Linked DNA regions of Caenorhabditis elegans. The protein of the gene in region 2 interacts with the protein of the main gene of each other region in a pairwise test. Each region holds a gene or a part of one and is shown on either strand. Other genes may lie near its edges.

Region 1 (10,809 bases), on a different chromosome or scaffold from region 2:
ACGGAATGAGAAATGGGGTAGATTGACTAAACAAAAGAGAAAATAGTGAGTTCGATGGAAAAAAAAATTCGAAAAGTGAATTGACTATTAGACAAGAACAACCAGAAGAGTACATAGGGAGGTTTCTTCTGTAAAAGACGTGGTGTACGTGTCGAGACCGATTCTTCAATGAAATCAAAAAAGGATGTGTTTGATGGGGAAGGTTTGAGAAAAAAGCACCATGAAAATGAATGAGAAAGAGGTCTTAAGTTATGAAAAAAAGAGAGATTATAAATAGTAAGCACATAGATATCCTATAATGTAACGGGCTCGATGATTTTTGGGAATGGGAAGGCAGAATCACAGTCTAGAAAATTGAGAAATGGGGATTGTATTGATGGACCAGCCATGAGACGTCGTATGGCACTTAGGGATCCGTGGACCAAGGTAGACCTGATGAAGATCCATTTGTTGAGCTGTTCATATTGCTAGTTCCTAGCAAATGATCAGTGGCATGACTGAATGTCGAATGAGCCAAATCGTTCTCCTCGTCGTCTGAAATTGAAAAAAAACTAAATCACGAAATCTATTTATTTTTAGTTGGGAATTTTTCAAACACTTTTATTTATAACTTGAGTATATTTATATTGGAACTGATGAATAATTGAACTCACCAGAAAATTCGACAACAGGCAGTGGCTCATTCGATCGTTTTGGGGATCGTAGAAATGCGTCTTCAAAAAACGACATCGACGATGATGCACGAGGAGATTCAGGCTAAGAATACAATTTTTATATTTAAATACATTTTTTTAAAATTAATATAATTTTACCTTTGATGTAACAGCATCAGCTTCCGGAGGTTCCGTTTTCACTTTTAATAAATTAATTGAAGGCATCGTTTTCTTCAATTTATGCTTCTGTTCAGGGCTTTCATCGGTGTCTGATACCCATGGAAGAAGTGAAGACAACTTTGGTTTCACTTCAATTGGGATATGAGATTTAGAAGGAAGACTGCTCTCCGATGCATTTGTGACAGTGATTTTCGGTACAACCGGAGCAGTTCGAATCAAATTTGGACGTGGAGCAACAACTGCTTGTGGTGGCTTATGCGAAGATCTTGGAGTTGAAAGAGCGACGGGGCGACCAGGTGTCTTTCCTGTTGGAAGCTTTGCGGATACTGCAGAAGATGTTGAGGGAGTAGCAGAAACAGCAGAAGAAGTCGATGGTTTCGAACTGGGAACGTTTGCGAAAGGATTAAAACGATTGCAAAACGCAGCTTTATTCTTTGCTAATTGCCCTTTCTTGTCCTTTCCAGCAGTGTCGATCGACGATTTTCTTGAAGCAGGAGCAGGTCTACCCTTCACGGAAACGGAAGAAACGACTGTTGAAGCAGGTGGAATTGAAGTACTCGTGCTAGGAATGTTTGGAATCTTATGATCGTCTTCCTCACTATTCTTATTGGGAGTTTCAGTGAATTCAACTGATAATTCCCCTTTCTTCTTCATCAGCTTCATCGTTAATCGTGTATAATTCGTCGGGGATAGATCTTTATGAAGATTTCCTTTCTTATCTCTGCGCGGTGTAACAAAGTGATTGATGTTTCTCGAAACTTTGCTAATCTTCATCACAATCTTCCGTCCATCGGTCATAATTCGTAGAGGTCTCTCGACAGTCTCGTCCAGTTCAGCCCTCAATCCATTCTTTGGAGTTACAAAGCTGCTACCCGAATTCAAAAGTTTCTTCTTCTGGGCTGGACTATCCTCGATTTTTGCACTTCTACGTTTTCTCGATTCAGATGGCGAAGGTGTCATCTTGATCGGAGTTTGCAGTGGAGTCTTGAAAACTGGCGTTTTTGCTGGCGACTTTTCTTTCAATTGTAACTTCGTTGGCGTCGTCTCAGCTGGTGAAGCTTTTATCTTAACATGCAACTTTTCTGGAGTTGGAGGCGGCTCAGTTCTCGATTTTGGACGACTGCTAGCTACATCTCGATCTGGTGACGGTTCTTCCAACTTGATATCTTTTAGATTGAACCTCAGCTTAAGCGGCTTCCGAATCGCAGGAATAGTTTCCTCAACTGCCACATCACTCTCATCTTCACTTGCAACAATACCATTCTGAAGAACAGCAGCTGGGATCCGTAATTTCAACTTTGGAGTAGAATCCTCTTTCTCTTTCTTGATCATATTTACTGAAATTGGAAGTGAAATTAGTTCGGCCGGCTCATTTTCTCTGATCGGAGACATATCATAATCCTCGTCAATTTCAGGTGAACCTTCATAATGACTTTCCTCTGGTAGAGACTGTTCAACACATGGCGTTGATAGTTTACACGAAACAGAACTAGGACTTCGTGGAGGCTTCATAACTTGAACTGAACTTGACTGGATTGCAGCTTTGGGTGAGAAAACTGGATGGATGGATTGTGGACTGTGATCAACTGTCGATGAAGAACTTGCAAGAGATCCAATTGAGCTGGCATCCACTCGAGGAAGTTGTGGTTGAGCTGTGATGAGATGTTGATTCCGAGCAGCTTCAGATATTTGTTCAAACGGAAATGGTTCCGATTTATCCAAATCTTCTTGAGTCCCAAAAATTTCCTTTCGAAACTGATCTGCAGCTTTGTTGATTTTTTCAGTTTCTGGAGACAACAACGGGGATTCATCTTCATCTTTCCAATCAAACGTGCTCTCACTCTCATTTCGATATCTTGACGGAGAAGGAATCGGTGATAATTGAGGGAAACCGATGAGTGGAGAAATATCGCCACGAGCTGGTTCCGGTTCGGCGAAATTGTCCTTCTTCGGTTCTGGCTCTGCTTCTGGTTCCGACTCAGATTCCGATTCTGGCTCTTCGTAGACAAATGGTGATCCACGTGGACGATTTTCATCGTATGAATCGAACTCGTATTCTCGATACAGCGACGAAAGCTGGCCGTTTTGAAGATCAAGTTCTGAAAAAGAATTATATTATAGATTTTTTTCAAAAAGTTTTGCCAACCTTTCAAATGTGCTGGAATTCGAGGAACCCTTAGTCGCGTTCGTTCCACATCCAATCTTCTAGCTCTCACGTTTTGAATTATATCACTATTACGCAAAAATGTGCTCAGATCTTGATCAGCCAATTTCTTATCATCTTCCAGTTTTCGACGCTCCGATTCTGTTTCAAGGAACAAGATCATGTTCTCTTCCCACTCTGTCGAAGATCTCATAGTATCACGAAGTACGATATTTCGAATTCGATTTCCGATGGAATTCGCCTGATGTACAGCATTATCCATAACTCTTTGAAACGTAGAATCAACTGAAAAACGTAAAATGATAAAGGGTTGAGGAAATTTAAAAAAAAAACATTTTTCTTAATGTTTCAATGTTATTTTTAATTGAAAAATACATTTTTCATTTTCATTGAAGCGATACTCAAATAGCTAGTTTTTGTTTCCAAATTGAAAAAAAACTTACAATCTGACACTGGTTCTTCTTCATTTGCAAAATGATGATATGGAAGTAGTCGTTCCAAAACATCCATCTTATTTCTGAAAGGAGTTACATCCACGGGCTCTTCTAATCGATTCAGTTGATCTATCATGATATCTTTCAATCGTTTCTGTCGAATCTGTCGTTTTTCTTCCATTATAGCTCTCAACTCTTCTTCGCTCAACTCATTGGTAACCTGGGGAACCGGATATTCTGATTCAGGTTCAACCATTTGTTGTTGATCTCCAATTGGATGATACAGCTCTTGTTGTTGAACATAATGTTGTGATCCTGGTTGAATTTGTGACATTTGACTATCTTGATGTTGCATTGACACATCAAAGAACTCGGTGGCTCCATCGTAATGATTACTGTAGCTGTGTTGAGATTGTGAATGTGAATTTGGTCTCATATCATGACTATGTGGATAGCTTCCATGGCGTTGAAGAGGTTCACCGAATTGTTGGAGGTTTCCAGGCGATGGTGTCGGATCTTGACTTCGATGAACCATTTGCTTGTTTGTTGTCGCATTTACATTTGTGATCAACTGTTGCCGAAGATGCGGTGCATCCTGTGGACCTTGGTACCTTCCCTGTCGAACAAAATCTCTCAACGTTGGCTCCACTTCTTGATAAATTTGCCCGTCATGTTGTACAGAAACGAATGTTTGTTGAACTTGGGATCCTTGAAGATCCTGAGCATGATATTGTTGGTCTTGCATTTGATCCATGCCGGATTGTGGCCGTTGTAGTTGTGATGACGGTCCATTTGTATTCGGAGATGCAAACACTACTGCTTGACGATAGTTATGAGTTTTCTGGTTCATAGAAGGCACAACTCTTGCTTGAATAATCTGTTGGTGACCATATTGCATTGATTCCTGAGATGGAGGCTGTCGATAATCATTATATTGTTGTTGCTGACTCGTTCCGGGTTCATCCATTTGATTGTATGTCGTGAAGCCATCATTACTATACATATGATTCGACTGACTGCTACTTGGAACCATCGTTGTTGTCGGAGGATCCATAACGAGTTTGGTAGGCGTTATTTGAGCCTGTGGTGGCATTATCTGCTGATTTTGAGCGAGATTTTTTGCCGTATTCGGTACGGTTTTTCTCTTGGGAGCAGCTTTTTTGGCAGGTTGAGAAGGCTGTGCAGATGATGAAGCTGAGCTACCAATACTTGTGAGATTTTGAATTTGACTAAGTATACTGTTTCCTGGAGCATCATTCGCACTCATTGCCATATTCTTGGTAAACACCTGTGCTATTTCAGCTTGAAGCGCTTCAATATCTTGATCATGAGTGTTATTTCCTTGTGCCTGTTCTTTCTGATATACATCCAATCTGCTCAATAGCGCGCTGACCTAAAAATAATTTTTATTTATAAATTTTTAGATTTAAGATTTAATCAAACATACTCGAACCAAGTCTTCCGCAGATATTCGTGTCTCAATTTTTTGTTCTTGATTGTCGTTGTTGTTGTCAATCTGTTGAGTTAATTTATTCACTTTCGTGAGTACTGTACCAACTGTATCAGGCGCTTGAGCTGAAAATAATCAAATAAATTGAGCAAATAAGGCAAAAAAAAGTTACCAGCTGTCTTTTTCTTCGGTGGAGGCCTCTTTTTTGTTGTCTTCGGTTTTGCGGGCTGTTGTTGAACTTGTGGAACAATCATTCCCTGTTGATGATTAATCTGCGAAGAAGAGTTCCCAGAAGGATTCATATGATCTATTTGTGGCATATATGATGTCGATGGACCCATCATTTCATAGTTCTCATTGATTATCATATCATTCCCTTGTGACGTTGATGGCTGTTGATTCTGAAAGAAAAATAATTTTTAACAATTTTATAAACTTCAATTTTAATATTTTAGATATAGAAAATATCAGAGTTTTAAAAAATGTTTCTAGGTTCTAGTTTTTCAGGACTGTAAATTTCAGTATCATAATTCAATTGTTAAATCAAAAATTAATATAAAAATGTAGCAAAATATAGTTTTTTTTTTCGCTGAAAAGCTTCAGAAAAACTTAATTGGAGCCCAAAAATTGCCGTTTTCCGGTATAAATGTGATTTTTTGTGCTAATTTCTGGAATTTGCAACAAAAAAATGTTCAGATCAAATGAATGTTTTCCTTACTCTATGGAAAAGTTCGACAAAGACCTCAAATATTACATATTAGTTGCCCTCTGCCGGTAAAAATTTCACTTTCCGGTACTATTCGAACTCTTTTTCGGACTTTTCTATTTTTTAAAAACATTTTTATATCAATTTTTGTTCGAAAAGTTTTTTGAACTTCAATTTTTCCATTAAAAACATACCGCATAAAACGAATTAGGGTCATCAATACCAAGATCTTGATACGGGCCGACGTCATGATTAGAATTGATAACAGTGGGCATTTCGAATGAGTTATACTCCTGAAAATATGAAAATTGATAATTAAGTGATCATGTGTGTGAACACTTACAATTGTATTCGATGATTGCATATGCTGGGCAAATGAATCATTATTCTGCATAACATGATATTGTCCATCGTTATTTCCACTGGGACCTGGTTGTTGATCTTCTCGATTGAGTCCTCCGTTCGGTGATAATCTCAAATCATACGATTCGTATTCCTCGAGTGTTCCAGCTAAATCGAAATCTTGACTGGGTGATAATGGTCCGTCATCATTGAGTGGGATGTTCTGTAAAGCGATGAAAGTTGGAAAATGAAAAAAAAAAAGAAGAGCATTTAGTATTATGGGTACGCAGATAAAGGTCTCATTAGGTATTTAGCGGAAAACCCGTGATTTCGCCAATTTCCAAGCATTTTCGTTGTTTTTTCATTGTTTTATTGATTTTCTCGCCGAAATTGATGTCATAAACAAGTGATATAAATATATTTTAAAACATAATTTCAGTGTAAAAATCATTGAAAACCAAGGATATCACAAAAAGGAAGAACTTTATGTTGATTTTGCAAATTTTCGTTTTTTTTTCGTTATGATCTCCGTTGTTTTAGCGCATTTTATGCTGAATATATGTAAATATATGTGAAGTTGGAAATTGACTCAATTTTTGCAAGAAAATCATTAAGAAAGAGGAAAAACGAACAAAACGACATACGAAAATACCTAACGAGACCCATGGCATAGGAGTGGAGCATTCCCGCGTTGATTTCAAGAGGGTTTTTCTGGGCCTCCATGATATGACACTTACATCAATGTTTCCAGACTCAAAATCATAGTTCCCGGCTGCTCGTGGACTGTCTGCCCGTTTGTTGAACTCTGTTCTGTACGAGAACCAGTCATCCTCTTCGCTGAAAAAAAAACAAAAAATCAGAGGTTAGTCAAGCAGCTTTTTGGGAGTGAAAATGAAATGAAATGGAGACCGCGCTGTGTGTGTATGGCTCCGCCCACACCGTCGTTGGGGCAATGTCAAAAACGTTTTTCAGTCTGCATCTCCTCCTCGTTCCTCCTGCTGTGCCCCCGCCTAAGAGAGGCGGCGAGACAAGGGACGGGGGAGACTGTGGGCGGAGCGTCCACAAGTTCATACTGCATGGGCGTGGCCAAACGAACGTGCATATAAAAGAGACACACGGAGCGGCGGTGTGGACATGGTGGGCGCTGCTGCATGCAGACCCATCAATGATACCAAATAAACCAAAATATTGTGCACTTACTAAGACATTATTGTTTCCGAATCATTATCTTGTTTCCATAGGTCGCCTCACAATCGCAAAACGTGTAGGCGAACGTGTTGATTAAGTCTGGAATTATGGACTATTTTGTTTTTTGTTGTATTAATTATATGCAATTTTTCGAAGAAAATGCACAAAGAAGAAACAGGAGATCGAAAGAGGGCGAGACGGGACGCAAGTTAGTAAGAGGGGAGAATAAAAGGCGATGCCGGCTGCGAAACAGACACACACAGACACAGGCACGGGTATCGATCGAGAGACGCAGTGAATGGACGCCACAAGGTCATATGCTTTGACGCACACGACAAGTAATGGTAGGGGTCTTAGTAAGACAGCGCTTAACAAAAATCGCTCGTATAAACTCTCAAGACACCATTTGGTGAGGCGGTAATAATTATAAGCACAAATATGTTTTTTTTTATTTTCAGACGAGCGAAGAAAAAGCTCGATGCGCCCCAAACGTATCATCATCACCATCAGCGTCATCATCACCAACGAGAAAGCATCGATGCTTTCTGGGTGTGATGGCGTCAGAGAAAGAAATATATATATACATAGAGATACACCCGCATACATACACACACCGTTTTGTATTGCAATAGGCGAAGACGCAAATTGATTTTAAAGCAAGTGTGTGTATGTGTATACGCAACTAGACACAGCACTAACCGAGGAGACCTGAACAGAACACTCCACCATTGAGTACGCTCTCTACACTATCTTTAACTGTCTGCATCTCTCGTCTCATCACAGATGTGTCTCTGCATCTACCCCCTTACACACTGGTCTTCCTCATTGACGCTCACAACGAGAGGCGCATACAAGCATACACCAGTAACCATCAACGTGATGATATTGAGAGAAAAATGAACGCATGGGCATGAGATTTTTCTTGACATTGTTTTTAGCGAGTATGACTTCTTTGATGCTTTTTTCAATTACACATTCAAAAATTGAAGAATGAAGAGCACAAGTTTAAATACAAATTTGAAAAAAGAAAACAAGAAGGTTTTAGTTAGAAGTTTTATGATTAAAACTCAAAAGACGAAAATTGAAAAAAATAAAAAGTTCCATGAAAAAACATCCGCATAAATATAATTTAGGTGAGAATCGTTTTTCAAAATATACTCGGAAAAAAGTTTGAAATTTGTTTTATAAAAATGAATAAAAATTGAAATTGTTTAATTTACAATTAAGTTTTATTTTTACTTATAAATGAGAGAATAGAAAATTAAAAATTAAAAAAACTAACTTTCAAAAAACTGTTCGCTAGATATTGGAGCGCGTTTTCACTCTGATTAGTCATGGCCGCGGACTAGCATTTTCTAGTCCCTGTCGATTTACGGAGAATTTTTTGAAGGGAAATTAGTTTTTCTTAATTCTTTAAAGAATTCTTTATAAATATTTATTTGTTCATTCATTTAAAATTGTGAAAACATTTAATTTTTTAAATTTCAGATTCAAAAAATGTCTTGCCCATACATCGATGAGGACAAAATCGTGGGGAATGTTGAGATGGAGTTGAAAAAAGGAGGAACTTTCGATAAACTGCGAAAACAAGCAATTGAGCACGTCAAGGATTCAAAATTGGTGCACCGGATTGAGGTTGGTGTTTTTGTCAGAATACAATAATTGAATAAAATGTATTACAGAATGAAATGTTGGTTAAAGTAGATGAAATCATTGCATCGTCAGCGAATCTTACGCAAGAAGAAATTCAACGGAAAATGAAAGATTTCATGAATGAAAATGCAAAGTGAGTCCGTGAGGAAATGGTTAAAATCTGAATTATCTCTCTTATAGAATGCGCAACGACATTAATCGACAAATACGCGTGGAGTTCGAAAAGGAGTGGGTGCACGATGAACTGGACAAAGAAATTGATGAAAAAGTGAATTGAAACAAGAATTAATAAACAAATTAATATTTTTAAGGTTAACAAACAATTGGAGAACTCAATTTGATCGTCTTTTTACGCCGCTTCACAATTCACGGGTCGTCACGTAATTGTCAACACATCTCAACAAATTGAATGTATTTTATTTATCAATTTGTGTATAACACTTTTTCAATGATGAATTTCAAAATATGTATTCTGTTCTTCATAGCTCTTGCGTCACCGGCTTCGTCAATTGAAGATGACGAGGAAGTGACTCTCAAGCTTCTGACTTCATACAACGTAGACTATAATAGTGCAATTAAGGAGTGCGTTGACAACGAAAGAAACAATTTTAAAATCATAAGTTTAGCGAGTACTCTCGAATAATTGTGGAAGATCGAACAGATGAGATATCCGTTAAAATTGGAATTTTAGCTACATATTTTCGAGTTTTCAAAAAACTTGTGGCTTGGGGTGTTGAAGAAAATGGGTAAATTCTATTTAATAAATTATTTGAAAAAAAAATTTCAAAAATTTAAGATTCGAACATCTATATCCATCACCTGAATATGATTTTGATATAAATATTGGATCAGAGTGTAAAAAGGGACTTGAAATATGCTTGGACACAATTATAAGTAACATTAGTGAGATACAGCCGTGGATTTTGCAGGATAACATTGATTTGGAGTGAGTTCATCATTGTTTCTTTTTTAGATTTAAGTAATATTGATGATTTAGTGAGTTGGCAATGAAAAAGATAATTGATGATCAACGACTCGGGATGGAGATTTCGGCTTCACAGGTTTGAATTCATGAATCTTACCACCAATTTATTAAAATTGTTCATAAGAAGACACTTTAAAAGTTCAAACGAAAGGCTAAAAAAATATTTTTTAAATGTGCGTCTTTAAAAAGTACAGTAACCAAATGCATCGCTTTCTCCAAATTTTCTTTGATGTTTTCTATTACAACAAACATGAAAAACCAATATTAAAAACATAGGAAAATTTAAGAATCGATAATTAAATAGAGCGGGTTACTGTACTTCTTAATGGCGCATTCATTATTAGCGCCGCCTCGATTTGAAATTATATCAGTCGGAGCGAGGCCAGGTTTTTTTAAAATAAAAAACTTAAAAAAAAAAAAAAAATAAAATAATCATTAATGAAAAGTTGCAAAATAGGGAAAACCCAAATTGCACAAGATGGTTCATTTTATGTTAAAAAAAGAAACTTTAACTCCATGAACTGTACAAGGAGGACCTATATTCTAAAGTTGTTTCACCAAGTTTCGCGAATTTTGGAATCATTTACGTCGTTCGCTACTAGAAGACAAGAAATTGTTGAACATTTTATAGTAAAACATGTTTTAATTTCAAATTTTATACCTATACCTATGGCCATAGTTCAGAAGAAAATGTTGACTAAAAACTTCATGCCCAGATTTCAAACTGAACGCCTCTCAAAAAAATTGAAACGTCGGAGTGAAAATGTTTGAAAATATGAAAGAAAAGCTGTTCAATACGAACCAGTCGACAGAAAAAAAACCTATTCAAAATTTATTTTTATTTACAAAACAACATTCTCGTCGACTCAGGAGGGCTAAAAAACAAGAAGGCCGTGTCCCTGCTTCCCTTTCGTCGTTTCTTTTTGCCTGTTCGAAGAGTGGATGGAGAGGGTAGAGAGAGATTAGAGAGTACACGAAACATGGAGAGTCTAGTAACATTTGGAACCATCTCCAAACTGAAGGTGGCACACGATGTGAGCAAATGGAAAGAAGG
Region 2 (7,445 bases):
GGAAAGGAGGAAGCAAATTTTAGCAGATTGTGAAATATTAAAGGTTTGAATTCTTAGAAAAATCTGTCTTTTAACAAAGAGGCTTATCAAACTAAATAGCGCCCGTTCAGCGAATTTCAATCGGAAAACAGTTTACTGAACAGAAGATTTATATTACGGGAACACAAAATTCCGAGAATGCGTACTGCTCATCATATTTGACGCGAAAAATATCTCGTAACGACAACTACAGTAATTCTTGAAATTACTACTGTAGCTTCCATTTTCCCTCGTTTCGCCGTGTACTTTTCTCATTTTTTGCAGAATTTTAATATTCTATCGATAAAGCAATGATTAATTCATTTCAAAAAGCGAGCACGTAAATCGACACAAACGCTACAGTAGTCATTTCAAAAATTACTGTAGTTTTCGCGACGAGATATTTTGCGCAATACATTCTCAGAATTTTGTGTTCCAGTAATATGTCCACTTTCTAAAATAAATTTTGGACGAAAAAAACTAAACTCTCATAAAATAATCCTAAATAGTTACTGAGAATCACTAAATTTCAGCTCTCTTGTTCCGTTTTCGACGCTCTAAATGATTTTTCCACGGAATCTTATCCTCAAGGGATGTGGACTATAGTTCCCGCAATTATGAAATTGCCGTTTATTTCTGATTGGATAATCATCGCAGAAGATACTTCTGAAATTAATATTTCAAACTTACCGAAGTTCTTCGAATCTGAACCATCTTCTGATATGGTATTTTCCGGGTTTGCACTTCAGGATCGAGAGTAAGTTTGAGATTTTTTAGGGAATTTTAGCTTCGACGAAAAACTACGGAACCTGGTCTCGACACGACCGATGATGTAAAAAAAGAGAGATGTGTGTCTTTAAAATGTACAGTAGTCTCCATGCCTCACTGGTTTTCTTTCGTTTTCCAGTTGCTCTACTTTTTCATTTTTAAAAACCGAGTATACGAAAAAGCTGCAAAAAACAGAAAAGTTGGAATTGAAAAAAAAACAAACCGAGAGACTACTGTACTTCTTAAAGGCGCACACTCGTTTTAATTTGAACAGATTCGGTCGTATCGAGACCTGTTACTGTATTTTTGCATTACAAATTGTAAAATTTCGCATCTGCCTAATAGAGAAATGATAGATTTCAAAATTTCAAAATTTCAAAGTTTCTACAAAACAAAAGTCCAAAATATAAAAAAAAAACTGTTAAGCCCGACAATTATCCATCACTTTGGAATGAATGCTCCTGAAAATTTCCAATATCCCTTATTTTCTGCTGGTTTTATCTTGTCAAAAAGTGTAGTTGAAATTATTCGAAAAGTCGATATAAACGATCGATGGTCCGGATTTGCAATTGATGCAAAATATGAGGTATTACCATTTCCAGATAATATTATTTCTCAAACGATTTCACATTTTAGTTTGCTCAGTTTTTACACAAATGGGAAAATTTGAGGCTTCACCATCATCCTGATTATTTTTGTTGTGGAGATACCATTGATAGTTGCATTGTAAAATGTTCAATTCCCTTTCCAAAAACGTCAAATTCAATTTCTGATTCTGAAGTTCATGTCATGGTCAAAACGTTCGAAGGACATCATGTGAACCGACTTGAAGTTCTCAAAAACACTTGGGCATCCGACGTGTCACGCATAGAGTACTGTAGCGACAAAGAGGATCCGGCAATTCCAACAATCAATCTAGGAGTCGACAATACGGACAGAGGACATTGTGCAAAGACATGGGAAATATTCAGAAGATTTTTGGGAAGTTCTGGAAATGGAGCGAAATGGCTTGTAGTAGCCGATGATGATACATTGATGAATTTCAAACGGTTGAAGCAAATGTTAGAGTTATATGATTCTGGAGATAAGGTAGGTATTTCTAATTTCATAGATCTTACTATTAATGAGTATCTTTAAAACATTTCAGATAATTATTGGCGAGCGCTATGGATATGGATTTAGTTTGAATGGTGACAGTGGATATGACTATCCCACTGGCGGATCTGGGTTTGTTCAAATAGTTTTTCTAGATTTCTCAATTTGTTTGACTTTCAGAATGATATTCACGCGCTCCGCAGTTGAATCTTTACTTGCACAATGCCCATCGTGTATTGCAAATACTGATCCGGATGATATGACGATCGGAATTTGTGCACTAACAGCTGGAATTCCAATTGTTCACGAATCTAGATTACATCAAGCGAGACCTCTAGATTATGCTCCGGAGTACATAAAATATCCAATATCATTTCATAAATTTACTGATATAGATCCAATTTCAGTATATTACGAGTACCTAGTAGAATTAGAAGAATATAATCACAAATCTGAGCTTTAGGAAAACGACATGTATAACAGGAATGTGTTATTGTTATTACGAGTATCATTCATTGAATAATAAATTCTTCATCTTGAACTTCTACTTTTCCGGTTTAATCATCAAAAGTGACGAGTTTTGTTGCGATTTCAGATATGCACTAAGCTTCGATTCCGGCTCTTGATACGGGAATGCGGTATAAATAATTATTGAAACAATGACCATAAATGTGCCAAGAAGGAACATAAAACCAGGAGCAAAATCAAAAAGAATCCACGATCCAACCGCAGCTCCGATGATTGCCATACTCTGTAATATATTATTTTTGTATTGGACATCAGATGAATTTCTTGCCTGAGCATATGCTTTTAGAATGTTGTCGGCGTACTTTATTACCACAGATATCAATATTCCACCAACTGAATTGGTGACTGTCAAGCAAACGACCACGAAGTCCCAACCACGGAATGCGCCTTCTGAAAAATTAGAATTTTTTAGAAATAAAAGTGAATTTAAGTTTTTTATCATTCTCCTGTTTAAATGATAATTTGTAAATTATTGATTTTAGAAATCTACAGTATTTTCTCTATGCACCCAAAATTTTGACGGCGTATATATACGCCGTCAAAATTTACGCGTATATCTTAGTTGTCATTTGTCCTATAAAAAAGTTATCAATTGATAAAATGTTTATCATTTCTTTTTCTATCGTTTTGCAACTGATTATTTTTTGATATTGTCAAGCTGAGTCAAGATATACCTACTTAAAGTAAAGTAGTGGGGTGAAATACTTTTAGAGGAGATACGGTCTTTTTACAGATGAATTAAGCAAACGCGAAATATGAGAAAAACGAGCGTTTTTACAATATTTGTAACCTAAAAACTAGAGTTTTCTGCAAGTAAAATACTCATGGTTCAATTCAAAAATCGACTCGCAAGATGTAAGCTGCTTCAACTTTATCCAGGGCCGCCTTGATAAAAAACATTCATCAGCAAAAATGGAGACAAATATGTGCACAACATTTTCTCACTAGAACTTTTTTTTTGAAAAATAAACTTTTATTGCCATTTTCTAAAAGATTCCCTGATTTTCTTACCAGCGAATGTTCATTCTTTGGCAACAATTTTGTTTTCGCCGTTCTCGACCTATCGCTCGCGCCACACTCCCCCCACAAAACCATTGTTATTCATCCGCGACCGTTTTGAAACACTTGATGCAACGAATGCAGAAGCTCTCTTTTCTTCATGCTCACATACAGAGCAACAGGCAATGGTCAGTGTGCAAACAGAATGCGGGTGGGGCAAGCATGTGCTCTGGCTCTGTTCCTTCCATCGGATTGTCTGCTTTTTCAAGAGGTGTGAAAAGAAAAGAAAATTGACAATGGGCACGGAAGGGGTGAAGCGGATCCATCTCTTTTCTTTTCTTTATCGAAGACACACTCAACACACAACTGTATACCTCTCAGGCTACGACCGATGATCTTTCCGGTTTCATTGACACCTCCTTACAACCCACTTTTTTCAATTTAAAAGTTTTCTTTCGAAATTCGAAACCCGGTTTACTTAAAACTATTAGCAACTCACGTTCATTTATTTTTTCCCAGTCATAGTACCACATTGAAAGAAATGAAATTGGAAGTCCGATGAGTGCAAGACGAATGTTTTGAACCCAAATTGATGCATTGCTAGATTTCAAAACTTTTTCCAAGTAGACACCTGAAAAAATAAAATCAGTTCTATTTTGGGATAAGAGAGGGATAACCTGGACAAACAAATCACTTGATTTCAAAAAAAAGTTGAACATCAAATGGAAATGGTCATTCAAAACACAGAGGATGTGTTATCTACCAAAGCTATTATATAAATAATGGTACACAATAGGCACTACTGTATTTTTAAGATAAGTAACTTTTTAGTATAATTCTTTTTTGTTGCAAATTTCCATGGGAATGAACATTTGAAAATTTAGATTGTATTAAAATTTCTCACAACAGCAACTTCGCCGCAGTAAAAGCAACTTCTGCCTCCCACAACTTTACTACCAATTTTAACAACTTTCCAGTTTGGCATGTATACAGTTGCTAGAGTTGGACTGTTGTTGAAAGCCCATTTATTGCAATAAAAATTTCCAATTGTTATTCTACGACTACAAAAGCTCAACAATCAACTCAATCAAGGTGAATGGTCCATTGGAATATTTGGAGATGCTCTTCCATATTTTCAGCAGATTTTTGCTATTACTGGCATAAAAAGTTGTGAGTTAAATGCTGCAAAAAACTTGTAATTTAACCGTATTTTTAGGTGTACAAAATATTATTGTACAAAATAATGTCGTAGTATTGAAAAATATACAAATGAAATAGCCTTATCCCAAATTCCCTTTTTTTTGCAAATTTCCATCCGGTCCTTCCAAATCATTTTAAACTTGTACCTGCAAATGCTGAAGTGAAACACATTGTGAGCACTGCCATGAATCCATACATTGGGTTCTGCTCAACATCTTCACTTGCTGGAGGCGGTGAGTATACGTACTGAATGTCAGCAACTCCCAACACCAAGAGAACAAGTGCCCACCACTGTTTCGTTGACAATTTCTTTCCCAGGAAAAAGTACATGAAGATTGCAGTTGTAAAAATTTTCATTTGATATGATATCTGAAAAAATGAACCATATACTGAATTTTGAACATATTTGCGCATTGTTCCTATGATCCCCTATTTGTTTTTCATGTCGCCGAAACACTTGACTTTTTTGTTTCTGTGTTCGCTTCCTCAAGCTCCTTACACAGAAAGTTGTCGCCTCCAAATGGGATAGAGCAATGTAGTACAGATTGTTTTGAAGAGTGTAGATAAGGGCTGGAATGCAGACTTTCAGAGTTTCAGAACGATGCTCAAATATTGCCAATTTCAGCTCGTTTATGTATCTGGAAATAACTTTAATAGGAAGCTGAGAATGTCAATTTTTGTAGATTTTGAGATTTTTAAACAAACACGATGTTTACATATTCATAAAATTTTGTCAAATTTAGAGCAATTTTTAATCGATGTTATAAAATTAAATCGACGATTTAAAGATAACAATTTTTAAATCAATGAAAAAAATTCACTCACTTCATAACGGATTTGGTTGTGTAAATCATAATTGCTGAGCAGACCACTACTTTTATAATTTCCATCATGAATACATTTACAGTTGTAAAGAACACATTCGAATCTTCTCTGGCTCGAGAGTACCTAGCCATTAATGGCATGCTGAAACTTCCCACATACAAACTCAAAAAATATTAACAATGCCCACCTTGCTTGTTGAATAGTGAGCAGGAGAATACCAAAGTATTTAAACTTTGAGTCATTTTCACTTGAACTCATTTTGATAGTTCAAGTGCAGAGTATAGAACTGATGAAAAATGGAAGAATTTAGGAAAGAACACGAAGATGAACTAGCTATTCGTCTGGGACGACACGATGACGATGAAGATTGCTATCGGTTGACGGTTAGAAGCCTCCTGAAAAGATCCGAAATTGTGATTTCAATTAGATATATCCGTATGAGAGGAGACAGGGGAGAATAAGGTGGATAATAAGTTCAGTGAGGTGGATGCCAAGATTTGGACATTTTTCAGAATGGATACTTTATGTACATCAAAACTACACAGCTTATAACAATGTTATTGTATGAAAAATCCCTGAAAAACGAATAGAAATGGAAAAAACTGGTAACAATCCTTCACCAGGTATCCCAATGAAACGCTTAAAATCCCATGTTCATGTGTAGTTTGATCAAGGATGCAACCAGCATTCGAGGAACCTGATGATAATCATTCGATCTTCCAGATTATTCGCCTTACAGATTTAATTCAAACCACCGTAAGGGTATTTGGAAAGTATAGATTCCATGTAACAACGTTTATACAAATAAGTTCACTCCTGAAAAATATTTATTCTGGTATAAAATTCGAGAAAAACCTTTAAAAGTTGTCTTAATTGTCATTGCTTTTTTGGCATATGGCAACTTTAAGGAACTATTTGAGGTCTTTTTCTCAAACTTTTCAAAAAAAAAAAATTCTTTCAGGTAGAAAAAATATTTTCCAAAATTCCTCGATTAATTTTTGATTTAAAAATTTCAATAATTAACCTGAAAACAACAGTTTTGTTGTCTAAACAGTTTGCAGCACTCCAATGGCTCTAACGATACTCGCCGTGAAGACACGCTATGCCTTGTAGTAGACGTTTAAGTTTTGATGAAACGTAAAGGAATGGGAGGGTTACAATATGTCTTTGATGGCCACTAGGAGCTGTTGGTAGACCCAAGCTGAAATGAATGGCTTCAATGCATTTTCAACCTTCAGACGACAGGGAATGATTTGTTTTATTTTTATCGCCTATTTGCCAAGCGTTTCAAATCCTCTGGTCAAGTCTATCTTACTTCTGAAAAAATTACCAAACTTTCTAGAAGTTGCTTTTGATATAGAACCTTTATTTTTGTTTTTCTCTAGTATTTAAAGTGTTTTATTTGCTAGCGCTTGCATTTTCAATTACTGTTTCATACTTTCTATATGCATATTAACTTTTACAAGTTGAACTACACCAGGACGCTTGGAATCTCGAACATTCGACCTTCTTCCGACGTTTTGTTTGACATCCGACAGCCTATTGATGTTCTAAAGATATGATCCGGATTTGGGGATTCGGCATCCCTATCCACTTGAATGCTTGCCCTCTGCTCAATTCTCACCTCTTTATTTTTTCTAAAATATGCAAAGACAAACACAATCGGGGCGGCAATGTGTCATCGAGTCGCCACCATGCCTTTGTTCTCTAATGAGCGAGGAGCGCATGAGATCGTTTCCCGAAATACTTCCGTTCGCCCACCCCCCGTATTCTTGAACTCCTCCTTCACATATTTCTTTGGCATATTTCAGTGATTGTCTAGCCACAAGTCTCCAGAACCCCCTCGTCAGCGGCTCAGCGACACTAGACAAAACGGCGAACGAACTTTCTCCTCTCCGCTGCTCGCCGCGTTCTATTCGTGACCCTCTCATCTCTTCCTCCATAGCGCCTATTTGCTCCACCCCCAAATAACTCCCCATCCTTGCTCAGAGAAGCTCGGCGGCGACTTCTGT

The links.
Region 1: the proteins of nstp-3 (region 2) and mig-38 interact in a two-hybrid assay, tested with the Caenorhabditis elegans proteins (one large-scale study listed by BioGRID).

The regions. Positions count from the first base shown.
Region 1 is NC_003282.8:11,590,653-11,601,461, reverse strand, and holds the start of mig-38 (Abnormal cell migration protein 38), read right to left. Parts: upstream 7,219-10,809; 5' UTR 7,138-7,218; coding exon 7,130-7,137; intron 7,081-7,129; exon of another isoform or gene 6,864-7,080; intron 6,767-6,863; coding exon 6,667-6,766; intron 6,153-6,666; coding exon 5,931-6,152; intron 5,881-5,930; coding exon 5,782-5,880; intron 5,283-5,781; coding exon 5,054-5,282; intron 5,007-5,053; coding exon 4,879-5,006; intron 4,825-4,878; coding exon 3,441-4,824; intron 3,283-3,440; coding exon 2,980-3,282; intron 2,933-2,979; coding exon 813-2,932; intron 757-812; coding exon 654-756; intron 535-653; coding exon 407-534; 3' UTR 1-406. Other genes in the region: F40F11.3 (BOD1/SHG1 domain-containing protein), read left to right, coding at 7,459-7,461, 8,606-8,752, 8,800-8,903, 8,951-9,038, 9,082-9,111; spe-36 (EGF-like calcium-binding domain-containing protein), read left to right, coding at 9,222-9,352, 9,397-9,516, 9,567-9,716, 9,768-9,831. UniProt on the Caenorhabditis elegans protein: During gonad development, involved in distal tip cell (DTC) migration from the dorsal side of the hermaphrodite body to the midbody which allows for the formation of gonad arms.
Region 2 is NC_003283.11:5,792,438-5,799,882, forward strand, and holds nstp-3 (UDP-galactose transporter), read right to left. Parts: upstream 5,748-7,445; 5' UTR 5,692-5,747; coding exon 5,621-5,691; intron 5,575-5,620; coding exon 5,434-5,574; intron 5,247-5,433; coding exon 5,108-5,246; intron 4,978-5,107; coding exon 4,755-4,977; intron 4,040-4,754; coding exon 3,908-4,039; intron 3,710-3,907; exon of another isoform or gene 3,498-3,709; intron 2,800-3,497; coding exon 2,678-2,799; intron 2,633-2,677; coding exon 2,426-2,632; 3' UTR 2,345-2,425; downstream 1-2,344. Other genes in the region: ZC250.2 (N-acetylgalactosaminide beta-1,3-galactosyltransferase), read left to right, coding at 1-43, 552-775, 1,213-1,372, 1,423-1,875, 1,934-2,013, 2,062-2,344.